Linked DNA regions of Callithrix jacchus. The protein of the gene in region 5 interacts with the protein of the main gene of each other region in a biochemical or structural test. Links are inferred from orthologs where the notes say so. Each region holds a gene or a part of one and is shown on either strand. Other genes may lie near its edges.

What was found.
Region 1: of the proteins of XIAP (region 5) and HTRA3, one has a biochemical effect on the other in vitro, tested with the Homo sapiens proteins (3 studies listed by BioGRID and IntAct, with this or other methods). The link is inferred for Callithrix jacchus from reciprocal best matches to the Homo sapiens genes XIAP and HTRA3.
Region 2: the proteins of XIAP (region 5) and UBE2M form a complex in vitro, tested with the Homo sapiens proteins (2 studies listed by BioGRID). The link is inferred for Callithrix jacchus from reciprocal best matches to the Homo sapiens genes XIAP and UBE2M.
Region 3: of the proteins of XIAP (region 5) and PTEN, one has a biochemical effect on the other in vitro, tested with the Homo sapiens proteins (2 studies listed by BioGRID). The link is inferred for Callithrix jacchus from reciprocal best matches to the Homo sapiens genes XIAP and PTEN.
Region 4: the proteins of XIAP (region 5) and HTRA4 form a complex in vitro, tested with the Homo sapiens proteins (2 studies listed by BioGRID and IntAct, with this or other methods). The link is inferred for Callithrix jacchus from reciprocal best matches to the Homo sapiens genes XIAP and HTRA4.
Region 6: the proteins of XIAP (region 5) and CASP9 form a complex in vitro, tested with the Homo sapiens proteins (12 studies listed by BioGRID and IntAct, with this or other methods). The link is inferred for Callithrix jacchus from reciprocal best matches to the Homo sapiens genes XIAP and CASP9.
Region 7: the proteins of XIAP (region 5) and HTRA1 form a complex in vitro, tested with the Homo sapiens proteins (2 studies listed by BioGRID and IntAct, with this or other methods). The link is inferred for Callithrix jacchus from reciprocal best matches to the Homo sapiens genes XIAP and HTRA1.

Annotation. Positions count from the first base shown.
Region 1 is NC_133504.1:188,553,807-188,557,306, reverse strand, and holds part of HTRA3 (serine protease HTRA3), read right to left. Parts: intron 2,653-3,500; coding exon 2,538-2,652; intron 468-2,537; coding exon of another isoform or gene 445-467; exon of another isoform or gene 398-444; coding exon of another isoform or gene 357-397; exon of another isoform or gene 1-356. UniProt on the Homo sapiens protein: Serine protease that cleaves beta-casein/CSN2 as well as several extracellular matrix (ECM) proteoglycans such as decorin/DCN, biglycan/BGN and fibronectin/FN1.
Region 2 is NC_133523.1:51,191,836-51,196,131, forward strand, and holds the start of UBE2M (NEDD8-conjugating enzyme Ubc12), read right to left. Parts: upstream 2,801-4,296; 5' UTR 2,598-2,800; coding exon 2,489-2,597; intron 1,406-2,488; coding exon 1,311-1,405; intron 1,183-1,310; coding exon 1,144-1,182; intron 1,043-1,143; coding exon 939-1,042; intron 632-938; coding exon 568-631; intron 486-567; coding exon 345-485; 3' UTR 1-344.
Region 3 is NC_133513.1:80,463,682-80,467,958, forward strand, and holds the start of PTEN (phosphatidylinositol 3,4,5-trisphosphate 3-phosphatase and dual-specificity protein phosphatase PTEN), read left to right. Parts: upstream 1-1,477; 5' UTR 1,478-2,297; coding exon 2,298-2,376; exon of another isoform or gene 2,377-2,377; intron 2,378-4,277. UniProt on the Homo sapiens protein: Dual-specificity protein phosphatase, dephosphorylating tyrosine-, serine- and threonine-phosphorylated proteins.
Region 4 is NC_133514.1:39,810,920-39,815,140, reverse strand, and holds the start of HTRA4 (serine protease HTRA4), read right to left. Parts: upstream 2,801-4,221; 5' UTR 1,522-2,800; coding exon 1,017-1,521; intron 720-1,016; coding exon 620-719; intron 1-619. UniProt on the Homo sapiens protein: Serine protease.
Region 5 is NC_133524.1:119,603,097-119,607,023, reverse strand, and holds the start of XIAP (E3 ubiquitin-protein ligase XIAP), read right to left. Parts: upstream 2,801-3,927; 5' UTR 2,595-2,800; intron 2,351-2,594; exon of another isoform or gene 2,225-2,350; intron 189-2,224; exon of another isoform or gene 1-188.
Region 6 is NC_133508.1:52,841,305-52,845,350, reverse strand, and holds the start of CASP9 (caspase-9), read left to right. Parts: upstream 1-1,246; 5' UTR 1,247-1,409; coding exon 1,410-1,541; intron 1,542-4,046. UniProt on the Homo sapiens protein: Involved in the activation cascade of caspases responsible for apoptosis execution. Binding of caspase-9 to Apaf-1 leads to activation of the protease which then cleaves and activates effector caspases caspase-3 (CASP3) or caspase-7 (CASP7).
Region 7 is NC_133513.1:115,916,281-115,919,780, forward strand, and holds part of HTRA1 (serine protease HTRA1), read left to right. Parts: intron 1-951; coding exon 952-1,047; intron 1,048-3,153; coding exon 3,154-3,322; 3' UTR 3,323-3,500. UniProt on the Homo sapiens protein: Serine protease with a variety of targets, including extracellular matrix proteins such as fibronectin. HTRA1-generated fibronectin fragments further induce synovial cells to up-regulate MMP1 and MMP3 production.

The DNA.
Region 1 (3,500 bases), on a different chromosome or scaffold from region 5:
AGTCGCCTCCCGGCTCAGTGTGTGCAAAGAGCAGCTCCCCTGGTTTCCAGAAAATGGGCCACAGTCAAAGGCGCCCACGGAGAACGGGACAATTCAACAGGAAAGGCTCGGTCGTGAGGGAAAGGAGCTCCATTAGGGAAAGGAGGTCTGGGCGTACCCGTGGATCTAGTTCTGAGCTTCCTAGAAGCCAACAGGGAATGGGCTCAAGAGGTCGGATGGCGCCCGCTGTTCAAGAGAAGAAGACTTCAGCTTCCCTGGGAAAGACAGGCTCTGCCTGGCTCCAGATCGCCTTCCCATAATGGACACAGAAGAACAGTGGCGGCATCCTCAACAGCAGCTCTTCCTGTGGCCAGCCCTCATGGCACCGGCCTGGCTGCACTGGGGTCCATGTACTTGCCTGGCGGGGTCATGGAGGAGGGGACAAGCATGAGGAAGCCCTTGCTCTCAATGAACTGCCAGTGAGGGGGCTGGGAGGAGACAGGAAAGCAACGTGGCAGTGTGAGTTGCTGAGTCAGGCCTGGGCATTGACCAGGAGGTGGGCATGGGAGACACAAGGGCAGGAGGGAGAAGCTCACTAGGGCTGAAGAGAAAGTGGGGAGGTGGAGGCCCCCAAAAAAGGCCCTGCAATCAGAAGTATAGCCCTGCTCTGGAAGGTGGCTGTGACCACCCACTGAAGGAGGGGATGGGCGTCCTCTCACTTGGGAGAGTTGCCAAGTGCCCCAGTGAGACCTCTCCCAGATGGGTGCTCATGGCAGGCTAGGTGTGGGCAGGGTGGGCTGGACATCCCTACTGGAAGAGGGTGAGGAAATGGGGGCTTGAAAGAGGGTGACTTCCAAGGACCAGGATATTGAACTACCCTTGCATAGAGGAGTCTCTACCATGTGATCTGCATGGCCCACAGCCTGGAAGCGGGAGTACTCAGGAGTGGGCAGATGATGGAAGAAAGGAAGAATAGAGGGATAGGGATCAAGGGACATCTAGGTGGGCAGACGGATGGATGGATGGGTAGGTGACAGGTGAATGAGTGGGTGGGTGGAGGGGTGGAAGGAAAGAGAGAAGAAAGAAAGGAAAAAATGAAGGAAGAAATGGTGGATGGGTGGGTGAATGGGTGGGTGGGTGGGTGGGTGGGTGGACGGGTGGATGGATGAATAGATGGGTGGATGGATGGATGGATGGATGGATAGATGAATGATGGAAGAATTGTTGGGTGAAAGAAGAAATGAGTGGTTGCGTGAGTGGATGGGTGGATGGTTGGATATAGGATGGATGGATAATAGGTGGATGGATAAATGGGTAAATGGTGAGTGGGTGGGTAGATGGATGATGAATAGGTGGATGGATGAATGGGTGAATGGCTGGGTAGGTGGGTGGATAGATGGGTGGATGGATGATGGATAGGTGGATGGATAGTAAATGGATGGATGGAAAGATGGGTGGATGAATGGGTAAATGGGTGGAAAGCTGTGGGTGGATGTATGGATGCATGGATGGATGGATGGATGGATGGATGGATGGATGGATGGATGGATTGATGGGGGGATAGGTGGGTGGATGGATGGATGGATGCATGGATGGATGGGTGGATTGATGGGTGGATAGGTGGGTGGGTAGATGGATGGATGGATGGATAGGTGAGTGGATGGGTGGAGAGGTGAGTGGATGGATGGATAGATGGATGGATGGGTGGATAGGTGGGTGGTTGGATGGATGGGTGGATAGGTGGGTGGTTGGATGGATGGATGGATTGATGGGTGGATAGGTGGGTGGGTGGGTGGGTGGATGGATGGATGGATGGATGGATGGATGGATGGATGGATGGACGGACAGGTGGATAGGTGAGTGGATGGATAGATAGATGGATGGATAGGTGAGTGGATAGGTGAGTGGATGGATGGATAGATTGATGGGTGAATAGGTGGGTGGGTGGGTGGATGGGTGGGTGGATGGATGGATGGATGGGTGGATAGGTGAGTGGATGGATGGATAGATTGATGGGTGGATAGGTGGGTGGGTGGGTGGGTGGGTGGATGGATGGATGGATGGATGGGTGGATAGGTGAGTGGATGGATGGATAGATTGATGGGTGAATAGGTGGGTGGGTGGGTGGATGGGTGGGTGGATGGATGGATGGATGGGTGGATAGGTGAGTGGATGGATGGATGAGTGGATAGGTGAGTGGATAGATGGATAGATGGATGGAAGGAAAGAAACAGCTGACAACTAAGGGAGAGCCCAGATAAGAGGAGTCCAGAAAGTGCAAGAAACTGATGGTGGGAGCTGAGATCAGAGATCCCCAGACAAAGGGAGATCGCTTTGGAGGGGCAGGGGGTGAATGTGACCACGAATTGATGATAGGCAGGGGGGAAGACCCTGCCAGAGGCTGAGAATAAGCTGTCCCGGGGGTCTCCTAGCTTCGGGGTGGAAGACAGGACCTGGCCGGTAGTGAGCAAGGTTCACCCAGGACCTCCAACGGGCCCTGGCCCCAGTGCTGGGGGGTTAGTGCCTCTGCCTCTGGCCCCTCCAGGTGAGCTCTTTACCTTTGATGTGCTTGTCTTGGAATTCTGTGAGGAAGCGCGTGATTCGGTCGGAGGGGATGGCAAAGGAGATGCCCGCTGTGACCTTGAGCGTGTTGATGCCAATGACCTCGCCATCCTGGGCAGGAAGGTAAGAGCAGGCATCAGTTGGGGGAACCCAGGCAAACCCCTGCCAACAAAGCACTGTGTCCATGGCTCTTTCTAGAGGAGGATCCTGGCTGCCAATCCCCAAAGCCCTGACTCTCCTGAAAAGGTCACTCTCAGGGCCACACCTGGGTCAGTGACCCACCTCTGCAAGCCCTGGAGACGCCCCTCCCCAGACCTGGAGAGTATTTCCAGGGAAGCCTGCAGCTCAGGCCTGTCCCCAGGCTCTGGCCACTCTGCCTCTAAGAAGCAGGGCCACTGGGCCAAGGGCAGTGCCAAGCCACACTTGGAGAGATTGAGAGGGGAAGGAACATGGTGAGGCGTGTCGGGGACTGAGACTCCATCTATCCTTTCCTTACAGAAGCGGGGGTCTGGTGGGTGAGGCCAGGGGAGCTCACTGACTCCCCACTCCCTCTCTTTGGAGCCCCTCCCAACCTGCCCTTCCCCCCATGAGTCTAGTGCCACCTGGGCAGGATCTCACCTTGCCCCTAGGGACCTCACACTCGGGTACGCGGCTGGAAAGGAGCCCCACACCACCTGGCATGTACCCGTGGCCGTGCCCTCCTGGCCAGGGCCTGGCCAGCTCACCAGGGGACCCTCTGGGCCCCAGGGCAGAGTCTTGGATCAAGGTACCCTTTGTCCTCCTGGTCCCTGAAAGCTCATGAGGCAGGAAGAGCAGCCCAGTGTGCGATGCCGTGGGCTGAGTTCTGTGTCTGGCCTTGGCCCTCTGTGCTCGTCTCTACTGCCTGGACCACATGGAGTAGCCTCCAGGGCCTGGCTTCCTGGCCTCCAGCCTAAACCACACACACGAGCTTCCCCAAA
Region 2 (4,296 bases), on a different chromosome or scaffold from region 5:
CCTCCAGAGGTGGAGGGGTGGGTTGCCTGGGCCCAGCTACCCAGGCCCCTTGCCCACCCACTCCACAGCCCAGAGTGGGGGCTGAACAAACACCCAGCAGGGGGCTAGACAAGCCAATTCATTTCCCATTGCTGAGTGGGTCGGGGGAGGCAACACCGACCTTAATCACATGGTGGTTTAAAAAAAAAAAACAAACTAGGGGCAGGTAGCAGGAAGGGGAGGCAAGGCCAAGGCAGGGAATTCCCCCACCGGCTGCCCCCCAACCCCCTGCCGGTGGCCCCCAATAAATATTTGCAGGGGACGCCACGGCTTGTGGCCGTGGCGGGGGTGGGTGTGCGCCAACCCTATTTCAGGCAGCGCTCGAAGTAGGTGGAGCCGATGTAGCCACCCCGCATGGAACGCTGCACGTTCTGCTCAAACAGCCGCCGGTTGTTCTGCAGGACCTCTGCGGCCTCCTTGTTCAGTGGGTCCTCGGGGTTGGGCTCCTGTGGCCAGTACAGGTGGGGTCAACAGGCCAGAGAGACAGAAGACCGATCTCCCCAAACCCAACCACCTATTCCTACTCACCAAGAAGAGATACTGCAGGCCATAAATTATGGAGTTTACCGTAAGGACTGGCTTCCAGTCCTCTCTGTGGACAGAGAGCATCAGGGTCAGGGCTTGGTGAGTGGGAGATTGCCATAGGCCCCTCTGATATTGGACAGGTCAGATCCAGGGCATAGGAGAGTGAGGATGTGGGAGACTGGGAGGGAGGGTGTGGAGCAGGCCAGGACAGGGAGAAAACCAAGGTCAGGCCATGAGGAAGATGACTGGGAAATGAAGAAACCACAGACAACAAAGGGGTGGGTAGGCACAGAGACTGATGTAGTGCCCAGAAGACCATGAGGGGGGTATGACAGGCAGGGCTGGGGAAGGCAGTAGAGGGCCAGTGCCCTCACCTGAGGATGTTGAGGCAGACGTTGCCCTCGAGGTCAATGTTGGGATGATAGACCATTGTCTCACACTTCACCTTGGGGGGATCATGCGGATAACCCTGGCCCACCTGGTTCCAGGAAAAGAAAAGGGAGATGGATTGGTGCCTGGAAGGGCCTCAGCTGCTGCCTCCTCAGTCCAGGCAGCCATCCCTGCCCACCTGGGACTCACCTTAAAACTGAACACAAACTTCCCACTCTTGTAGAAGCCCTGGGAGGGAAAGGGGGAGAAGAAGATTTTAGGGTTCAATCCTGTGGGGCCTGACAGAACATGTCTCCGTCCTCTCAGTGGGGACACTCTTGATCTGCTTCTGTGAATCCAGCCATATGCACCCTCACCTCATCAGGACAGATGACCAGCTTGAAGTTGAGGAGGTCGTCTGGATCTGAGAAGCTGATATCACACGTCTTGGGCAGGTTCAGCTCGTTTATGTCTGGGTTTGGGCAGCAGAGAGTTGGGGAAAGAAAGGGGGAGGGAGAAAGAGGGAGGGGGAAAAAGTGACAAAGAGGGAGACAGCAGGACACTTAGGGCAGGTGTTGTCAGCACAGCCCCTATGGCCTCCTCCTGGACCCCCAAGCCTCTGTCCTGGGCTGTGCTCCACACCTCCAGCCCTCTCCCTTCTCCTGTTTGGCTCTTGTGGATATATGGCATACCCCAAACAGGTATGTTCAGTCTGCGTGTCCCAACTCCTGGCCCAGGGTAAACGCCCAATTTTCTGCATCCATAGCTCCCAAATGCTCCCGCTCCAAATATCCTCTGACCACCCTGAATCCCAGGCTCCCCATCCAAGATGTTCCTACCTGTCCACCCAAAGTCAAGGGTCCTGCCTACCCTCACCAATTTTCAGTCCTCACTGTCCTTTTTCTCTGAGAGAGAAAAAGGCCTTCTTCCCACCTGACCCCCACACTCTCAAGTCCCCAAACCCTCATCACCCTAGCCCACTCCCTCTGACTCCGAGGTTCACAGCACAATAGGCTAAATTTCTTCTCACCCCTGTCTCCAATCCCTGGTAGTCACTAACCTTCTCTCCACCACCTGTCACCCCATACCCCAAATTGCTGTGACTCTGAGGCCCATGAGTTTCGGGTCCTCCAACCTAGTCCACCCGTCTGACTCTTGAGATACACGGAGTCTTCTCCCATTCATATCCCCAGCCCCTGGCCTCTACTATCCCTCTCTCCTCCTGTCATCCCAAACCCAAGTTCCCGTCTAACCCCCAGACTCTCGAGTCCCCAGCTCCTCCACTCCACTGCCTGACTCTGAGATTCCGGGTCCCTCGTACCAGACACAGGCCTTCCTAATATCCTAAACCACCACACACTGGGCCCCTATCTCTGACCCCCCTCCCCGTGACTGCATGACCCCAACCCTCAAGACCTGACCTCCGACCCGCTACACTAGGGGCCCTCCACCTCTGACCCTCGGCGATCGCATGATCCCCTCCTGACGCCCACATCACCCAGCCTCAGGCCCTGAACTCCGACTCTGGCTCCAGCCCCATCCCCTGACCCCCTACCCTTCTGGATCCGCAGCTGCGCCGCCGACGCCTTCTTGCTGCTGCCCTTGGTGCCGCCTGCCGACTCCTCCTCCTTCTTCTGCTGCTTCAGCGAGAACAGCTTGATCATCCTGCCGCCGCCGCCGCCGCTGCCGCCGCCGCGGGGCCCGGGACCCCGGCCACCCGGCCTCCCGCCGCCGCCCGCGTCGCCTCTGCTCCTCGGACCCGCCGCTGCGGCCTCCGCGGCTCTCGCCACCCGCCCGGCCTGCCGCGCCGCTCTGCTCTGCTCCGCGCCCACCGCGCGGCCCGACTCGGCTCCCGTAGTCCGGCTCTGGCCTGGCCTGGAGTCTCGGGCTCGAACGGCAGCGCTCGGCCAAACTCGGGTGTTCTCGGGCCGCCCGGCCCCGCCCCTATCGCCCCCGGCTGCTCCTTCCTTGCCCTCGCCCGCTCTGGTCTCAGGCCCCGCCGCAGCTGCGGACTCTGGTTTCCCCCGGCCGCGCCGTTTGGCCGCTCAGCTGATCCGTCCGCGAGGGAGCTGCGGCTCGGGGTGGGAGGAGGACGGGGCAGCCGCGGTGACGGGGGCTGAGTACTGAAGGATCGGTTTCCGCGGCAGCAGCGGCTTTAGCGCGGAGGTCGGTAACGGCCTCGGGCGCCCCGCCGCTTCGGATATTTCCGCCGCCTGTCCGCTTTGGGTCTTCCCGCCCGGCCTGCGTTGTGCGCCTGCGCAGCCGCGGCAAACTCGCGTTGCTCAGGGATGGAGTTTGGGGTTCGGCCTCCTTCGGCTGGATTCGGGTATTTCCGTTCTTGGAGTTGACGCTTCGGCTGCCCGGCGGGTCACTTCCGGTGACTCTAGCGGGGTCGGGCAGGAAGTGTGGTTAGCCGCCATCTTTGAGTGGGGCAGACGTGGGGTGTTTCGCTCGCGGTCACTTCATCCTATGTTGTACTTGTGCAGAGCGCGGCGCGGGTGGGTCAGAGCCTTTGACCCCATGGGTCACAGACAAAGGCAGGGTGATCGCGGCGAGACTCTGAGTGAGACTAGAGGCGTTACCCAGAGGGTGCGAGGTCGAGCACCTTCATTGTCCCATCGCAAACCCAAAGATCCCAGTTCCTGGAGATTCTGATTGAGGTAAACTAACAAAACATGTATTGTGCCAGATGGTGGTAAGCACTCTGGAGGGTTAAGGTGGTGTAGAGGAAGACCTGTCGGGCTGGACACTTGGGGAACGCGATGTGGGGGCGGAGCCGGGCAGCTCTGGGAGTGGGCCCCCAATTCCAGCAGAGACGCACTGCGGTCTCACGGCTTTCAACCCACTATCTGAAAAAGGGGATATAGGCGGGAGTCAGCTTCCCATCCAATCGCAGCTCAGTGTGTCTGGGAGGGCGGGAGGAAACAGAACCCTGCGGGTCAGCCACTTCCGCCGTCACCACGGAAACCATCGTGCTCGCGAGCGCTTGGTGTGGTGGCACTTGCCTGCGGAGGGGCCCAGGCGCCACCCCTCTGATTCTGCAGCTCCTCGCCCAGGAGTGGTCTCTGGCCAAGGGTGGCTTGTCTGCTTTCCCTGAGGCCACGCCTCCAGCCTTGTGGGTTGGGGTGACTAGAAGCAGCAGGGGAAAGTCTGGCTGCACCCCTGGAAGAAGCTTGGACAACAAGCCTTGAGTCTTAGTTCCTTGAAATGTCCAGGGCCAAGGCTAGCCCGATACCTAGCCAGAGTGAGACCTTGACTGGGGTTTAAGGTTCAAGCTGGACCCTGCTGCACATAGACCCCCTTTGAAACTGCTTTCCACCCTGTGTTACCTGCACCCAAGTCACCCGCCGGAGGGGTGTGTGT
Region 3 (4,277 bases), on a different chromosome or scaffold from region 5:
CCGCTGCCTGCACCAGGCGAGAGCACCCCGAGCAAAGGAACAGTAGTTGCCTCCGGAGGTATCACTGGGGAGTGGGAATTTGGAAAGTTCCCCAACTAGGAACACACGTGACCTCCTTCGAAAAGTAGTTCCGACTGTGGCCCGTGTATCCTTCCACCTCCTTTTGAACCCTCCTAGGTCTCCTCGCTCCGCCCACTAGCTGGGCTGCAGCTTCTTACCGTTCCGTACTTTCCACGCGGCCCGGTAACCCCGAACGTGCACGGTCCGGCCGGGGCGCGTGGATCCTCGCCCCGGGCGATCCATCCTGCCGGGTTTTCACGGCGGCCAAGGAGGGGCGGAGCTAGGTGGTCTCTAAGGACCCAGCTAGAGTCCGACGCGGCGAACTGAGTTGGAGTCTGTATGATGGGGAGAGATGCTCGACTATCCTAGGGGCCCCGGAGCGGGCTCAGGAGAGGGCTGCGAAGTGCGTCCCACTGACAGGGATCCCCGTGCAGTTCATTTAAATAGGTGCCCTTTGGGCCGTGGAAATTCAAGGCCCATGTGTTCACGTTCAGCACGCTCGGCTGAGAGCTTTCATTTTTAGGGCAAACGAGCCGAGTTACCCGGGGAAGCGAGAGGTGGGGCGCCGCAACCGAGCCGGATGAGGTGATACACGGTGAAGACACAATAGCAGGTTGCTCTTTGTGCTAATTCTGACACCTTGAGGCCACAGGGTCGTGGGGTGGGGGGGAAGGGAGATTTCTAGGCAAAGACAGCTACAGTCAAGTCTCTGCGAACGATTGTGATCCCACAGCGGTGCAAAAGGAGAGAGCAAATGCAGGTCACGCCGCGGAAATCCAGGGGCAGAGGCAGGGGGGAGGGTATTCTGCATATCCCTATACACTGACTAGTGTGGCCACCTGGTCCTTTTCACCTGTGCACAGGTAACCTCAGACTCCAGTCAGTGACACTGCTCTATGCACCCATCTCAGCTTTCATCATCAGTCCCCCTCCCCCGCCCCGCAACAGCCTACCCTCCCTCCGGCTGCGTTTCTGGGCAGAGGCTGAAGTTTAGCTCATCCTCGCCTAGCGTTGCCGCAAAAGCAGCCGTGGCAAGTGCAGCTGCAGGCGGGCGGCTCGGAACCGACCAGAGCGAGCTTCCCCCCCCCCCCACCGGCGCAGGCACACTGGGCATGCTCAGTAGAGCTTGCGGCTTGCGGGGGCTCTGCGCTCGCACCTGGAACTACAGCTCCTGCCCCCTCCTACCGCCCCGGTCGTGCCTTCCCCTCCCCCGGCGCGGTCCCGTCGGCCTCTCTCTCACCACCCGCCTCCCCTCGGTCTCTTGAGGCGCCCGGTCTCCTGGCGCGGCGGCGGAGGGGGCGGGCAGGTCGGCGGACGGTGATGTGGCGGGACTCTTTGTGCACTGCGGCAGGATACGCGCTCGGCTGCCGGGACGCGACTGCGCTCAGTTCTCTCCTCTCGGAAGCTGCAGCCATGATGGAAGTTTGAGAGTTGAGCCGCTGTGAGGCGAGGCCGGGCTCAGGCGAGGGAGATGAGAGACGGCGGCGGCCGCGGCCCGGAGCCCCTCTCAGCGCCTGTGAGCAGCCGCGGGGGCAGCGCCCTCGGGGAGCCGGCCGGCCTGCGGTGGCGGCAGCGGCGGCGTTTCTCGCCTCCTCTTCGTGTCTTCTAACCGTGCAGCCTCTTCCTCGGCTTCTCCTGAAAGGGACGGTGGAAGCCGTGGGCTCGGGCGGGAGCCGGCTGAGGCGCGGCGGCGGCGGCGGCGGCACCTCCCGCTCCTGGAGCGGGGGGGAAAAGCGGCGGCGGCGGCGGCGGCCGCGGCGGCTGCAGCTCCAAGGAGGGGGTCTGAGTTGCCTGTCACCATTTCCAGGGCTGGGAACGCCGGAGAGTTGGTCTCTCCCCTTCTACTGCCTCCAACACGGCGGCGGCGGCGGCGGCACATCCAGGGACCCGGGCCGGTTTTAAACCTCCCCTCCGCCGCCGCCGCACCCCCCGTGGCCCGGGCTCCGGAGGCCGCCGGAGGAGGCAGCCGTTCCGAGGATTATTCGTCTTCTCCCCATTCCGCTGCCGCCGCTGCCAGGCCTCTGGCTGCTGAGGAGAAGCAGGCCCAGTCGCTGCAACCATCCAGCAGCCGTCGCAGCAGCCATTACCCGGCTGCGGTCCAGAGCCAAGCGGCAGCAGAGCGAGGGGCATCAGCTACCGCCAAGTCCAGAGCCATTTCCATCCTGCAGAAGAAGCCCCGCCACCAGCAGCTTCTGCCATCTCTCTCCTCCTTTTTCTTCAGCCACAGGCTCCCAGACATGACAGCCATCATCAAAGAGATCGTTAGCAGAAACAAAAGGAGATATCAAGAGGATGGATTCGACTTAGACTTGACCTGTATCCATTTCTGCGGCTGCTCCTCTTTGCCTTTCTGTCACTCTCTTAGAACGTGGGAGTAGACGGATGCGAAAATGTCCGTAGTTTGGGTGACTATAACATTTAACCCTGGTCAGGTTGTTAGGCCATGTATTTTGTGTTTCTCTTCTGTGTATTCAACGTAGGGTGTGTTCGGCTAGACGGAACTCTTGCCTGGTTGCAAGTGTCAAGGCACCGATTGCTTTCTTAGGCTATCTATGTGGTCTCTTCCTGAGGGCTATTGTCCGTTAATACAGAATACAGTACACTCTTAGTGGATTAGCGAGCTCGGTAATCGGTCTCCTAAATGAACAAAAAAGTAGATGCTTTGAGGTTGAGCATATTTCGATTAAGTCTTGGCTTAAGCTCTAGATCAAGGGTATAGATTAGAATAAAATGAAAATTAGTGTTGCACGTACGCATATTGCATCAGAATCTTGCAGTGATTGTTTTAGTTTCCTGGGTTGCATTGATAGATTCTTTTAAAATATGACTGATTTGCATAACTTTAGAAGCAGAATCGTTTTCAGTATATATGGTGCACACTGAGAGCAAAAAGTAGTTTCGTTAATGTTTAAACTTACAATTTTGAACTGTATTTAGAAGTTTTGTAGTTTGAAATCAATAGTGCCATAATATACCTTATAAGGCGTTCTTACTAGGTCTTTGTTTTATTTACCTTTTTCTCTCCCTATGGGGTGATGTAGGATAGGGCTTGAGATTTGCACTTCAGTAGCATTTAATGTTCACTGCCCTTGTCATAGACATAGAATGGAGATTGAGTAGTTTTTGATCCCAGGTGACAATGTCGTGTAGGTTCAAGGGTATTGTGTGTAGCAAGTGAAGATTGCAGAAACTTCACTTCATGCAGAAACTTCAGTTCATGCTTGAAATTTAAGTATTATTGTGATGCTAGAATTGCTGCTCACCTTTTTTAGGTTTCAGGTCCTCTGACACTTTTTGGTATTGTTAATTTTACTGATTCGTGTAGAATGTCAAGTGTATTTTACCAGCTAATATCCAAAAATGCCGGCAAGAGGGGTTTACTCCAGCTTTAGATTGTAGATATGTTAGCTTTTTTCATACAGTATATTAAATTTACTGAGTCAGCTCGTTGAATAAGACAGAAGCCCAAGAATTATAACAGCGTATAGCTTTAGGTGTCTAAAAGTTAGGCCTTTGGGCTTCAAAAGTTAGTTGTTGTTGAAAAGCATTAATCTTTGCAGTTTTAGGTAAAACAGACTGATTTTGATTAAGAATGGGGATGGAGCCCTGTTTTTGCAGAATGGAAAGTATTGACAGGAATTGAGAGCTATTGGTAGGTCAGTGTATAAGGTATGTGAAAACAGGATTAAGTTATTGGTCTGAAGTGACTGAAGCATTTAGGCTCTATCAAGGCCTAAAATTTGGTAATGTGAATTTGGCCATACGAATTGTGGCGGCAGACAATATTTAGCTAAAATTATGTAATTGCATAAGTACTAGCAGAGTACTTTTAATAAAAATTATTTCTTAGCAAACATCAGTTGCATTTTGTTTAAAGGTAGAGTGACACTACAGTGTCTATGTGTCCTGCTAAAAATTGTGGGGAATATTTTTTTTGTAAGAAAACATTTTATATAGGGAGAGGTTTTATTCCCTTGGATTATGTTAGCTGCATATAAATGTGCACAGTTAATTTTGCCCATGTTTTTGTTTTGAAATGAATGTAAAACTTACTGAAGAAGTAGCTTTCCAAAATTTAGTTTTCTGTTAAGTCAAAAGTGGTATTTTAAAAGAGTATTTGCAAAGTTTGAAGTCTGCATTAATTGAAAATGTTACTAAGGCTGAACTGGACCCGCTTTCCCAAAAGATAATTATGGAAAAAATTCTTTTGTGACTTC
Region 4 (4,221 bases), on a different chromosome or scaffold from region 5:
TGCAAAGTGGGAGCTGAGCAATATCACGACCAAAATGCCTGCTAAGCTGGGTGCAGTGGCTCACACCCATAATCCCAGCACCTCGGGAGGCCAAGGTGGCAGATCATTTGGGCTCAGGAGTTCGAGACCAGCCTGGGCAACTTAACAAGACCCTATCTGTACAAAAAATACAAATATTAGCTGGGTGTGGTGGCAATGCCTGTAGTCCCAGTTACCCCAGAGGCTGAGGTGGGAAGATTACTTGAGCCCGGTAGATGGAGCTGCAGTGAGCCGTGATCTGTCACTGCAATTCAGCCTTGGAGACATAGCAAGACCTTGTCTCAAAGAAAAGAAAATGCCTACTAGCTCTTATATCTGACCTTCAATTTTGTCTGTGCAAGGACGGGGGAAAAGCCCCAGCTACCTAAGGGGGCAGGGGGAGCTCGGGTTTGGAAGTCAGCATCCGCGTGCCTCTGCTCGTTAGTCAAATGACCTTGAACAGGTTATTCAACCTCTTTGCGTCTCAGTTTCCTTACAGCGGTTTTTTGGGATTAAATGACGCTTGAGAAGGGCCTGGCGCAGGTACGCAGGCAGGAACCACTAGCTGGGCCAGTAAGAGGTCTTCCTCCTCCCCCTTTACCTGCGCCACAGCTGCAAGTGAACCACCGATGGCGCCACCTTCTCCACCACCGGGGCGATGAAGTTGTAATTGCTCCTGAGCGGGCCTGCGCTCCTGGTCCCTATTCAAAAAATACCAGCTCAAGGGTACGCCTCGAGGGAACCAGACCTGCTATGCTGGTTGGGAAAATGTTAAAGGCAAGACAGTGTTCAAAACGTGCATGGGGAGAAACCACGCAGCAGCCAGTAAAGAGCCCCTGTTAAGTAAGAAAGGAAATCGGGAACAGTGAGATCGAGTCCAGGAGGCAAATGACTCAGGAGGACCCCGCGCGAACTGTGCGGTCGCAGTGAAGTCTTGTGTCTATACGCTCCTCCAGAGTTAGAAAGCGTCCCGAGGGCGCGCGCCCCCCGCGGCTCACCTGTATCCCTGCAGTCCCCCCACTGCACCGGCACCGCTGGCACCTCGCCCCGGCGGCGCGCGGCGCGGTTGTTCGCCCGGAGCGCGCACAGGCTAGGGTAGGTGCGTCTGTCGCTGCCGCACACGGCCGCCCCCAGCGTCGGGCAGCCGCAGGTGCTGGGCAGCCAGGGGCCCAGCGACTGGAGACACTGCAGCCCCGGGGCACACGGCCGGCCCCGCGCCCCGCCGCAGACTTCACCCTCGGCCGCCGGGCAGACGCGGCAGCAGCGGCACAGGTCTAACACCGGCGCGGTACCCAGCGCGCAGCGGGGCAGCGCGGGGCAACGCGTGGGCTGGCAGACCGCGGGGCACGCCAGCTGGGCGTGTAGCCTCTTAGCCCCGGCCCAGGGGACGGGCACCAGGAGCAGCAGTAGCCCCGGCAGGAGGCATGGTCCCAGCCCAGCAGGCCGAAGCTGAGGTCTAATCATCCTTCTTCCTTCCTCGTTTCCACTCTTCAGTGACTTCATCTGGACCTGCAAACGCTCCTAAATGAGCGACACTTTCTCCCGGCCATGGCGCCGCCTCCGCTGGCCCCCAAACTTTAAGGGGCAGAGCCTGGCATACCTCTCCATATACACACCCGTACATTCCCCACCACCCGCCCCCGTCCCTACCCGGAGCCAGGTCCTCCCCCAGGCAGTGAAGGGAAGGTCTCCAGCACTACCCGGAGTGGGAACCTACCTTGTGAAATCCCTAAAACCGACCATGGGGGCAGACTGATAAGAAAGCTCACTCACCTAAAGGTCAGAAGGTCAGTATTAGCAAAACACACGACCATATTTCAGTATTTCACATGGTTTTATTACAAAACAAGCCACAAAACAGTTTTAGAAAAATTTTGCTACATACCAATTAGGAGATCACACAAAATGAGAAGCGTAACAGTTTCCATGCACCCAGCCTAGTGCTTACAGCAAGTGCATTTCACAGCTGAAAACATCACTGCTTTAAAACACAGAATCATGCTACCCCTTCATAAGCAGAGGGGGAGGAGGTCAAACAGTATGTTTTTGCCAAACATGTGCTTTATCTGAACTCTGTCTAGCATGAAGGACTGGCTGTCGCAGGCAGTAACACGGAGAAGAAAAGGAACAAAGGAAGAAAAGGGTGCTGGCAGACAAGATTTAACAAACCTGTCCACTTCCAACTTGTCAGAAGTTTATAAACAAAGTTCACGTGGGACACTCAATTTCCAAAATGCTGTGACCTCCACCTATGTTATCTGATTTATACTGAAAACAAACCTACTAAATTCCACTCCTCAACTACTAAAGCTGCTGTTTATTCATGGGGTCCTTTTAGCTCATATAAGTGTATATTTATATTCGGAAATGGAAAAGAAAAAGCTTTTGCTTCAAATAGACTAAAAAGCTGGACCTTAAAACTACTTTCTTTCTCTTGGGAGCTGAGAATTCGACTCAGAAATAGATATATGACTCCGATATTCTGACCCGAGGTCAATCTCTATAATGTATGCCTCAATACCCTTATGACTTCTCACTTAACACTAAGGGCCAAATTATTTTTGCCAACCATCAGCTGACCCTGAATAAGCAAGTTGATAGAAGCTTTCAAAAATACTGGATGGTGGCTCACGCCTATAAAAAAAACCAGGCGTGGTGGCTCACACCTATAATGTGAGTACTTTGGGAGGCTGTGAGGACGGAATCACTTAAGCCCAGGAGGTCCAGACTGCAGTGAGCCATGATCAGGCCACTGCACTCCAGCCTGGTGACAGAGTGAAACACTGTTTCTAAAAATAAAAATTAAAGATTAATGGATGGCATTATCCAGCCATAAGGAAGACCACCTGGAATACTGTTATACACAGTGGGTCAAGACCACTTAAAAAGCCTTATGAAAAGAGCACAGCTCAGGTGAGGTTTTTATTCCACAAAGAAAATGCAGTACATTTTTTAGTTCCTTTAAACCTCAGATTTATTCCAGAGCCTATGCACTTAGTCACTAACCTATACTCTGTTTCCACCCTATTTTTTCCATTTGGTTCAATTGTATACATTTAAAACTAACTGCACTGGTCAAATACGTACCATCTTTGGTTCACATTAAAAGATTATGGTTGGCTGGGCACGGTGGCTCACGCCTATAATCCCAGCACTTTGGGAGGCCAAGGCGGGTGGATCACGAGGTCAAGAGATCAAGACCATCGTAGTCAACAAGGTGAAACACTGTCTCTACTAAAAATACAAAAATTAGCTGGGCATGGTGGTGCACGCCTGTAGTCCCAGCTACTCGGGAGGCTGAGGCAGGAGAATTGCTTGAACCCAGGAGGCGGAGGTTACGGTGAGCCTAGATCGTGCCATTGCATTCCAGTCTGGGTAACAACAGCGAAACTCCGTCTCAAAAAATAATAATAAAAATTAAAAAATTAAATATTATGGTTTAAAATTGGCCAGAAGGTATTAAATATTGACAAAAAAGGAAGTTTGAAATACAGTTTTGGAATGAGAATGCCCTTAGAGTTTGTTTCATTAACAATAATAATTTATCTGATATTGAACTACATTAACAATGTTCTGGCTGGGCACAGTAGCTCACACCTGTAATCCCAGCACTTTAGGAGGCCGAGGCAGGAGTATCACTTGAGCCCAGGAGTTTGAGATCAGCCTGGGCAACATAGCCAGGCCCTGTACATAAAAAATAGTAATAATTAAAAATTAGCCAGGCATGGTAGCACAACCCTGTAGTCGTAGCTACTTGGGAAGCTAATATGGGAGGATTGCTTAGCCCAGGAATTCAAAGATATGATGAACTGTAATCACATGACTACACTGTAGCCTGGGTAACAGAGTGAGACCCTGTCTCTTAAAAATTAAAATATATATATATATATATATATATATACACACACACACACACACACACAAGCAATGCTCTAACTTGGAATTCCCAACTGTTTGCCAATCAGCGTCCTCATTTCCCTTTATCAAGATAATACCATATGGATCCTAAGTATGTTTAATTTAACACATTCTCCTTATTATAATGGCCAATTACTTTAGCAATAGTAATCTATCGGATAATTTATTTAAAAGAGAGAGAGATAGATAAATGGGTAGATTTTAACAATGTAAACATCAAAAGAGAACATTTTTTTCCGTGAGTCAGGGAATATTTAAAGAGATCTCAAAAGTTCTATTTTCATT
Region 5 (3,927 bases):
GGAAATGGCTCGCAAGATCAACTTCCTGATGCGAAAGAATCGGGCAGATCCGTGGCAGGACTGCTGAGGCCTGTGGATGGGACACCCAGTGTGAAACCCTCATCCAGTTTTGTCTCCAACTCTTTTCTTTGTACAATCCCATTTCCTGTTACCATTCTCTATAATAAACTCAGTGACATGTTTAAAAAAAAAAATGTGTGCTACCAAAGCAAGTACTCAAATTTGATATTCTGAATGTGTTAAAGTTTGCTACTTTATTTGATAATGAAGCTTAGGACAATTTCTAAAAATATACAACTAGTAACATATTATTTTTACCATCTACATTAGGAGAGAGCAATACAAGAAAAACAAACGTAAGTATCCAATAATGAGGCCTGCTTTGTCAGCTGAGTTGGCTGGAATCATACCGGATTTTATGGTATAAACTACTGCTATGTATAAATACATATATGTATATAAATGTGCACATACCATCGGTATATACTTGCTTATATAGATATATATATATATTTGTGTGGGGGGGTGTGAACTTTAAAACTTCTTTTCAATTATAAAACAATACTAGAGGCCAGGTGCGGTGGCTCACACCTGTAATCCCAGCACTTTGGGAGGCCAAGGCAGATGAATCACAAGGTCAGGAGTTCAAGACCAGCCTGGACAAATGGTGAAACCCCGTCTCTACTAAATATACAAAAATTAGCCAGGCATGGTGGCATGCGCCTGTAATCCCAACTACTCAGGAGGCTGAGGCAGAGAACTGCTTAAACCTGGGAGGTGGAGGTTGAAGTGAGTTAAGATCATGCCACTGCACTCCAGCCTGGGCGACAGAATGAGACTCCATCTCAAAAAAAAAAAAAAAAAATCAATACTAGTTTATAACAAACTCAAACAGTACATTAGGTCATGTGAACTACTGCAAAGCAAAAAGTCTTCTACCTCTCTTCTTCCTCATAACTACTGTTAACCTTTTTATTGTGTATCCTTCAAGAAACTAAGCAAATGCAAGTATACACACGTACCTACCTGTGAAGGTGTGTGTATAAAAATCAGACAGATGCCACTTCTTGAATGTGGGGGTGGGGAGAAATCTCAAGTACTCCATACGCATGTTAAATACGTTGAAATACATAGAAAAGTGGTGGCAGAGTCACTGGTACAAAGTATTATACTCTTCAGAAATGAGTGTTGAATTGAATACATTTAATTTTTATGCCTGGAGGCGATATGGAGCAATTGCGCAGAAAGAGTGGTGGGCAAGAAGCCAGATAACACGGGTTCTAATCTAACTAGTTGGATAGCCTTAAGCAAGCCACAAAATCTTCCTAAGCAGTTGTTTCTGCTCTTGTAAAAGGACGGGGTTTGACTACGATCCCTTCCAACTCTAAAATGTTTTAATTCTAAGATGGCCGTCTGTAACATTGTTCTCTTGCGCTGGCTGTAATAAATATTATGGGGGAAAAAGATAACAAGAAAGAAACGCTACTGCAACCTCCAGTCTTCCAAGAGTAAATTTCTGTGAGTCATCAAACTATCAAAGTATAGTTGTGACAGAACTATCGACATAATTATATTTGAAAGCAAAGTAGTAGATTATTAAAATCTGAAAGTTTTTTTTTAAACAAAGCTTTGATTGACTTTTTCCTTTTTTGGAGGTGGAGAGGGCTACTGCTTAGTTTGAAAGAAACACTTCCCTCCCCGAAAAGAAAACAATTTAAGTGTTAGGGAGTTAAAATGATGAAACGAAGTCAAACTGACATTTTGTTTTACAGAACATGCTGGAAAGGTGACTGGGAAAGCAGAGTGGAAAGAATCACTAGCTAATTTCCTCTTCCGGAAGCTCTTTGGCCCTCATTCTTTCGGTTTCTTACGCCCCCTCCAGACACACTCCACCCTGCTCCACACAAGCCACAGGTATCACATGGGGAGGAAATCCCTTTGATCATATTTAAAAAGTTTTCTGCCTCAATTTACCTTAGGTGTCACAGGGTTTAGGAAGGCAGTACGCGGGCCTGAGGTCACCCACCCACCCACGCCTTCCGTCGACAGTCCGGGGAACCCGGGCAAGCAGCCCAGGCCGGGCCACCCATGCCGGGCAGGCGCGGCCTTCCCGCCCTCCCCAGCAGCGCCGGCCCGAGGGGAGTGGAGGGGAAAAGAGAGGGGAGGGAAGGAGAGGAGTAGAAGGGAAAGCGGGGGAGGGGAAAGCCTACACAGCTGTACCCACCGCGCCAGGACAGCCGGCCCCAACTGCCCGCAGCGATCGGCTCGGTCCAAGGGGAGGGTCCCGGAGGGGGCGCGGCCCAAGCCCCAATCTGGAAAAGCCAACTCTGCTCTGCGGCCTGGCCCCAGCCTAGGTGAAGGAAACGGAAGTCCCTTCGTCTCCCTCACGCGCCTCCACTGGCCGGCCCATCCCCTGGAGACACCCGTAGTCGCGAAACCCGAAGTGCGTCCACGTCAGGGCCTCAAAAAGATACTGGGCGCGGTCCGTCAGTCTCCCGGCCCGGGCAGTGTCCTTCCCACCCCCGGCCGGGAGGTCAGCCTCCTGCCCTGCAAAGCCCCTCCTTCTTCCCCCCCTCCGCCATTTTCCAACTTACCTTTTGGGCCGGGCGTCCCTCGATGAGTGCCGCACCCGCTCCGGGCGCCGCCAAGGTCCCGCCACCTCCCCAAACCGGAAGGGGGCAGTAAGATAAAATGAGGCCCTGGTAACCCCCCACCCGCGCCCCCCCCCACCCGCGTTCCAGCTGGAACCCAGAAGCTGACCTAGCGGGCGCACATGCGCAGTGAGCACCTCGTAGTCTCCGCCCCTAGCCTCAGCGTTTCTTCTTTTAGCCTCAAGGACGGTTTTTCCCACGGTTTTTACCTGTTGGGCTCTGGGATTGAGGAATAGGGGAAGAGAGATAAAAGGACGGAAAAGAGGAGGGAGAAGGGGCAAAAATGTTGAGTTCTTACTATAGACCAGGTACTGTGTTAGGCATGTAACCTGTTCTTTGTTGTACTGTTGGCAACCCTGTAAAATAAACACTGTTTTGGGGGGTTTAATTTTACAAAAGAAACTGAGGCCCAGAGGGAATAACTATCCCAATATCCCGCGGCTAATAAACAAAGTAACTGAGATTAGAATCGGATCTGTTTCCAAGAAGGGAAGGATGAAAGGGATGACGAGAAAGGGGGACCCTGGGAGAATGGCGAGGGGTTAAGATTGGGAAGTGAATGGAAAATTAATAGAGGAAAAAGAAAGCAGATGGACAGGAAACAAAGGAAGTCTGTGAACATAAAATGCTGGTCCTACCCTGGATTTATTTCAAATGCGTTGTAAGATTGTCAGATCAACATAGGAATTTTTGTTTCAGGAACATGGAATCTTAAAGGGTAATATAGTGAGATGATGGATTCTGAATATTTCATTTCAAATGAAATCAAGTGATGCAAGATACTTATGGTCCTCCCTTCACAACTAGGGAACTTGGAGGGAGGAGAGGAAATACTTTTCTTAAAAACTCCTTAGTTTCCTGTTTATTCTCCCCTTGGGCACGCTACCCTATCTTCTAATAAATCAGAACTACTCCTTCTGCCCCGCCCATTCTCAGTTTTCCTGCCTTAGGCTAATTTGCTCCAACTACTCCCTCTGCCTTCGAGAAAAGGCTGCCGGTGGCTGGGCGTGGTGGCTCACGCCTGTAATCCCAGCAGGGGTTCGAGACCAGTCTGACCAACGAAACCCCGTCTCTACTAGAAATACAAAAATTAGCCTGGCGTGGTGGGGCACACCTGTAGTCCCAGCTACTCATGAGGCAGGAGAATCGCTTGAACCTGGGAGGCGGAGGTTGCAGTGAGCCGAGATCGCACCACTGCACTCCAGCCTGCCTGGGCAACAGATCGAGACTCGGTCTCAAAAGGAAAAAAAAAAGACTGCCTGTACACAAAGCCTTC
Region 6 (4,046 bases), on a different chromosome or scaffold from region 5:
GCTCAATAAATATTCGTAGAATAAGTGAATAAATGGGGCTGAGGTGTTGCAGTTCAAGCGATTATATTCTAAGACTCTTAGATTCTTCGAGTATGGCCTATAAAGTCAGATTCGGGTTTCAATCCTGTCCACCTCGGCCACTACTACTCATATGACCTTAAACATCCGTTTCCCTGAACCCTAGGGTCTCTACATCTGTAAAATTGGCGGAAGGCGGGGGGCGGGAATACTTTCTTGGCAGGATTGTAGTTAGGGAGAAATGAGATAAGCTTGAAAAGTGGTTAGCACGATGCCTGGGACTTAGCAAATGCCCACTAAACAGAAACGATTATTTTTGAAATGTGAAAATGAACTGTTCAAAACGATGGGAGGTTAGAGGACTAGATTACTGCCAGCTTTTTTTTTTCTGTGTGAGAGGTGTTAGGGTGGGAGGGAGGGAAGAGGGAAAGGAAGATTGTGTAAAGTGGGCTTGGTCGGATCAGACACTCGAGTTTGGAACAGCCATCTGCGATGTGGGCACAGGGTTGAGGGGGGGAGCTTATGGTTTTATTTGGGGTGGAGGAGGAGGCTAAGGGGAAGCCATGCCCAGGAGGAGGTTGAATGGGGCGGGACAGACCATGGCTCCACAAATGGTTTCCTTTTTGCTAGAAGTCTGACAACTCCTTTCGAACCTCTGTAAAAGCGGGGCCGTAGTGAATTCTGGCGAGGGGCCCGCCGTGGACCAGGAACTGGTGCCACAATTGCAAAGGGGCACCTGCGCCCGGAGGGGGCGGTGACGCGGGGGCTGGGCTGGGCCCTGGGGGCGGGGCGAGGCGCGGAAGTGCCGCCTCGGGACGGGGCGGTGACGGAAGGATGGATCTTGGGGACGTGATTGACTTTGGGGAAGGGGTGGGGATGCGAGCTGGAGCCTGAGGCTGGGCAGTGACGCAAGGACGATTCTGAGGGTGGGGTAAGTGGAGGGGTTGATTCTTGGAGGCGGGGCGGTAGCGCGAGGCTAGACCTTGGGGGCGGGGAGGTGGCACAAGATTAACCTTGGGGGAGGGTTGGGGCGCGGGTTGAATCCTGGGGCGGGTCGATGACGCAAGAGCGAATCCTGGGGGCGGGGCGAGGCCTTGGAGATGTGTCCTGGAGGCGGGGCGGTGACGCGAGGGCGGGTTCTGAGGCGGGGTAGGGAAGTGACGTTTCGCCTTGGGGGCGGGGCGACGACCGGAGGGGCGTCCTAAGGCCGGGGCGGTGACGCAAGAGCGACTCCTGGAGGCGGGGCGAGGCCTTGGAGATGCGTCCTGAGGCGTTGTAGCTAAGACTGACCCGGGGCAGTGACGCGGGGGCGGGATCTGGAAGCAAGGGCGGGTCCTAGGGACCTGGGCGCGCTGCCGAGGCCCGGAAGCGGACGGTGGAGGCTGCTCGCCATGAACGAAGCGGACCGGCTGCTTCTGCAGCGGCACCGGCGGCTGCTGGTGGAGGAGCTGCGGGTGGACCAGCTCTGGGACGCCTTGCTGAGCCGCGAGCTGTTCAAGCCCCACATGATCGAGGACATCCAGGTGCGCCCCCGCCCCCGGCCTCCTGTTCCCGCGCTGCACGACCAGGTCCCCACACCCCTCGAAGAGCCATTGTGTGGGAGCCCAGCTTTCCCTGTGGGTGGGTTCTAGTCCCCCAGCGGAGCCAAAGAATCCCAAACACCTCTTTCTTAGTCGGGTGTTCGCTAAAGCGATTCCACGCCATGCTCAGAGTACACTGTTAGTGCAGGAGTGTCTTGTGTAAATGAAAAATGTGAGACACATTTTGAAAACTGAGTAAGAAGCAGTTCTTGAATTGGAGAGCATCAAACTGAAAGAGGTTTAGTGTTGCAGTGGCAAAGCGTCAGAGGCAAGTATTTATTGGGAAAACGTGGAAGCAAAATAGAGGAATTATTTGATTGGTTTGCAGTTACAAAATTGCCTTTTTAAAAAAAGGTCTTCATTGTTTATGCTTGCTTATGATTGACTAGAGTTAAGTTTTGCTTCTCTCTAACATAAGCATTTATCAGATATGACCCAGGTTAAATTTTGCTTATCTTTGCAGTTTAAACAATATTTAGGTCACTTAGGATGCCTGATTAGTATTGTCTGCTCAGGAATTCTTCAGGGTTAGTCTCCATTTTAATTTACTTTTTAACACTTGCAAGGAAGGAGGTGTGTGTGTTTTTGCTTTTCTAGCGTAGAGGTTTCGGCCACCCGCTTTGGCATCAGACTGCCTGGCAGCCTGTTCTTGGGCCAGTCACTTACTCTCTTTGAGCCACAGTTTCCTGGGCTGTGAAATGGGAATACAATAATACTGTAATGAGGACTAAATGAGTTAATGGATGTGAAACAGTGTAGAGCCAGGCACAGACCCTCAGGCTGTCTGCCCTGCCCTCTTAGGCCAGCCCTTTCTGTGTTCAATTTATGTTTTGTTTAGAGGTTTTGGAAATAGGGGACCTGATGCAGGCAATGGAGAATAATAAAGTCAAACATCTAAGGTTTTCTTTAAAATCACTTTCCCATCTTTGTCTCACGTGACCCTCACCACAGGCCTGTGAGGACAAAGGAGTTATTTCCCACCATGAGGTACAGTGGGTGTGAGTGGCTGGCTGGATATCCCCAGCCGGTGCCCTGGTCCCAGTGAAAGAGCCTTTAAATAATTGAGTATCGGCCGGGCACAGTGGCTCACGCCTGTAATCCCAGCACTTTGGGAGGCCGAGGCAGGTGGATCATGAGGTCAAGAGATCCAGACCATCCTGGTCAACATGGTGAAACCCCGTCTCTACTAAAAATACAAAAAAAAATTAGTTGGGCATGGTGGTGCGTGCCTGTAATCCCAGCTACTCAGGAGGCTGAGGGAGGAGAATTGCCTGAATCCAGGAGGCGGAGGTTGTAGTGAGCCGAGATCGCGCAATTGCACTCCAGCCTGGGTAACAAGAGCGAAACTCTGTCTCAAAAAAATATAAATATAATAATTGAGTATCATATGAGTAATTATTCATTAATAATAAAAGAAGTCTTGTGACTTCTGTGTGACCCCTACTGGGGAACAGAAGTGGTTTGAGGCCACAGTCGTTGTTTTCAGGGATGTTCACAGGGATCAATGCCCATGGAGGCTTGATGGATGGGCATCATAGTGGATAGCCTTTGCACTGCCCTCCGTCTCCAGCTGAGGCTGGATATGGCCATATCCGCACATGGCCCAGGATTGCCAGATCTTTTGCTTCTTCGGAGGCAGGGTCTCATTCTTGCCCAGCCTGGAGTACAGTGGTGAGATCATGGCTCACTGCCACCTTGACCTCCTGGGCTTAAGTGGTCTTCCTGCCTCAGCCTTTAGAGTAGCTGGGACTTTAGGCACATGCCACCATGCCCGGATAACTTAAATTAAATTTTATTTTTTTGTACAGATGGGAGTCTTACTGTGTTGCCCAGATGGGTCTCAAACTCCTGGCCTCAAGTGATTCTTCTGCCTCAGTGTTGGGATTACAGGCATGAGCCACTGCACCCAACCCAGCTTTCCCATTTTAAGAAAGAAGTTGGAAATCTTGATTCCTCTGTCAAATTCCCTGGCTTAAATCCTGGCTTAAAATGTTAGCAACAAATTCAGAAATTTTTAAAGAACTTTGTGGGAACCACGGGTTGCGATTTTGCCACCCTGGTATGGCTGAAAAACCCACAGGTTTTGGAGCCAGTTGGATCTGGACTCTCATCCTAGCTTTGTTACATATTGGCAGGTTGTAAAAAGCCACACTCGATGAACCAAACAAACAAAAACCCTTTCTGTGACTCAATTTCCCTGAAATTTTTTGCCCTAAAATGTTGGGAAATTGAAATTTAACTTTGTAAGGTTATTGAGGGAGAAAAAGGTGAAACAATGCATTTAACACAGTGCTGACCTCCTGGAGTGCTCAGCAAATGTGGAGAGAAATCCAACCACCACCATCTGTTTGCACATAGTCAACTGTTCTGCTAGTGAGACTCAACTACAGGTCTGTGTTGTTCACAGCAGTAGCCATTGGCCACATGTGGTTAATTAAAGGTAAATTT
Region 7 (3,500 bases), on a different chromosome or scaffold from region 5:
CCAGCTTGCTGGGTTCCTGTCTCAGCTCTGATACTTCGTGCCTTGTGACCTTGGGAATGATCTGACCCCTGAGTGCCTCAGTTTCCTCCTCTTCAGGATGGGGATGACAGCACAGGTGCTTCTGGTGGCCAGGCTCAGATCAGGGAGTGGGGGCAGTGATCACCAGCCACAGTGATGCCAGCCACTATTTATCACATGTACTGGGCCAGGCACCTTACTGGGGCGACCTCATCTGATCCTCATAACTCACGTTGTAGGGTACTGTTACCCTACATTTTGCAGGCGAGGAAATGAAGGGACAGAGAGGTTAAGCAACCGTCTCAGGTCACACAGCTCGCAAGTGGCAGAGCTAGGGCTGCAAACCAGGTCAGCCATTATACTTTACTGACTCCTTAGTAATGGCTACTATTAATTAAGAAATAATAACAGTGATGATGGCTGGGCGCAGTGGCTCACACCTGTAATCCCAGAACTTTGGGAGGCAAAGGTGAGCAGATCTCTTGAGACCAGGAGTTCGAGACCAGCCTGGTCAATTTGTGGAATGCAGTCTCTACTAAAAATGTGAAAAATTAGCCGCACTTGGTGGCAGGCACCTGTAATCCCAGATACTGGGGTAATTGAGGCAGGAGAATTGTTTGAACCTGTGAAACAGAGGTTGCAGTAAACTTGAGATTGCAACACTACACTCTAGCCTGGGCGATAGAGTGAGACTCAGTCTCAAAAAAGAAAAAAAGAAAAAAGAGAGAATAATAATGATGAAAGCACTTTTCTTGCTGTTACCAGGTAAATCTTTGGCTCTGGTAGACAGGCAATTTTAAAGCAGAATCAGAACTCCTGGAGAAATTTTACATTAGACCCAGGGAGAAGAAGGGAACTGCTGAGAGCTGAGTTCTGCCTGGGGAAGGCCTGGTATTTCTTGACACTAACACGGGTGCTTTCTCTCTGGAGCAGCAAAGCCCAGGAGCTGAAGGACCGGCACCGGGACTTCCCAGACGTGATCTCAGGAGCGTATATCATTGAAGTAATTCCTGATACCCCGGCAGAAGCGTGAGTTAGAGTTATTTTCCCTTTTCCTCATGTGTCTGTGGTTCTTGGAGAGGGCGGGGAGGGTAGCAGGAAGAGGGGGCAGTGTTCCTTTTATACTGGCTCAGATGATTGTGCTGATCCTTGACACACGTGGTCTGACATTGCTAGTCATTCCTATTGGTCAGGACTCATCCATAGGACGGTGACTTTTATCTTCGGAAGTCCTCGCTCCGCTAGGGCCCTCCAGATGGACAGAGCAATAGCAGACTCGTAATGAGTCTCTGGGATGGCCTGGCTGGGGAGAGAGGGTTTCAGGAACAGTGTCCCTAAGACTTCACACGATAGTCCTGTTCTAGGCTTCGGGACCCTCCTCCTCCTGGAGTCTTCTCAGATTGTCTCTGACAGTGAGGCCATACCTGTCAACACCTGCAGAAAAATAGCCCTAGTGATATCAAAGCAGCATGACAAGAAGTAGCTCAAACATCCATCAGGGTTTGTTACCGTATTGGTGGAATATCCAGAGAAAAGTGCCAGACTGGGGCCAGCAAATGTGCCCTGGGGGCCGGATCTGGCCCACTGCCTGCTTTTGTATGGAGCTGTGGGCTAGGAATAATTTTTGCATTTTATTTTGATTTTTACTTATTTTTTTACCTTTTTATTTTCATGGGTTTTGGGGGAACAGGTGGTGTTTGGTTACATGAGTAGTGTACATGAGTACATGTCACTCATGTTACATGAGTAGTGGTTACATTAGTGGTGATTCGTGGGATTTTGGTGCTCCCATCACACAAGCAGTGTGCACTGCACCCAATTTGTAGTCTTTTATCCCTCACCCCCTTCCCAACCTTTCCCCTTGAGTCCCCAAAGTTCACTGTATCATTCTTAAGCCTTTGCGTCCTTGTAGCTTAGCTCCCACTTATGAGTGACAACATTTAAATGGTCAGAAAAATCCTGAAATAAGAATAGTATTTTGTAAAATGTTAAATTTGTATGAAATTCAAATTTCAGTGTCCACTGAAATATGGTTTGTGACGTCTTGGGGGGCTTTTGTGCTGGAATAGCAGAGTTGAGTAGCTTCAACAGAGGTGATATATACGGCAAAGCTAAAAATATTTCCTATGGAGCCCTTTACGGAAAACACTCGCAGACCCCTGTGCTAGCCCGTTAAGGACCATGACAGCATTTTGACACTGACCTATGTGAGAGCTACGGTTATAGTGGCAACCACACAGAGGAAGGGTCTCTTAACAGAAGCATTCCGCCCACCCTGTAAGAACTGCATTCTGACTTGCAATACCCATGACAGGCAAGTTGGCCATGGTCATGCTTCATGGCAGATAGGACCCGGTGCATCCTTCGCCACTTCGGGGTCAATCTTGACCTTTGACCTCCTTGGGGTCGTAAGGCCACACAAGTGTTAGTAGGCATTTCTACAGTGGACACAGTTGATGGTTTAGCCTACAAATCTCAAAAGGAGCCCAGCATCATGGCCCATGCGTGTAATCCCAGCAATTCAGGAGGCTGGAGCAGAAGAAATCTTTTGAGCCCAGGAGTCTGAGACTAGCATGGGCAACAGGTGAGACCTCATCTCAAACAAAAAAAAAAAAAAAAGAAAGAAAAAAGGGAAAAAAAAGAACATTATTTAAAAAAACTCAATAAGTAATTCAATCCACTGATGGTTTAAAAAAAGTTTTTTGTTTTTTTTTGAGATGGAATCCCACTCTGTTGCCCAGGCTGGAGTGTAGTGGCACAATCTTGGCTCACTACAACCTCCACCTCCTGGGTTCAAGGGAGTCTCTTGCCTCAGCCTCTGCATAGCTGAGATTACAGGTGCCCACCATCAAACCTGGCTAATTTTTTTTTTTTTTTTAGTAGAGACAGGATGTGGCCATGTTGGCCAGGCTGGTCTCGAACTCCTGACCTCAGGTGATCCACCTGCCTCTGCCTCCCAAAGTGCTGGGATTACAGGCATGAGCCACTAATGGTTTAAATTTTTCTAAGTTCACCTCCATTCAATCCTATTTGCTCTGGGCTTTTAGGTTCTAAACTGTGCCTCTGTCCATGTAAAGTCAGACCAGGAGGAGTGGAAACACAAATCATTCCCATTGTGATTCCCTTGTGTTGCAGAGGTGGTCTCCAGGAAAACGACGTCATCATCAGCATCAATGGACAGTCGGTGGTCTCTGCCAATGATGTCAGCGACGTCATTAAAAGGGAAAGCACCCTGAACATGGTGGTCCGCAGGGGCAATGAAGACATCATGATCACAGTGATTCCTGAAGAAATCGACCCATAGGCAGAGGCATGAGCTGGACTTCATGTTTCCCTCAAAGACTCTCCCGTGGATGACGGATGAGGACTCTGGGCTGCTGGCATAGGACACTCAAGACTTTTGACCGCCATTTTGCTGGTTCAGTGGAGACTCCCTGGCCAACAGAATCCTTCTTGATAGTTTGCAGGCAAAACAAATGTAA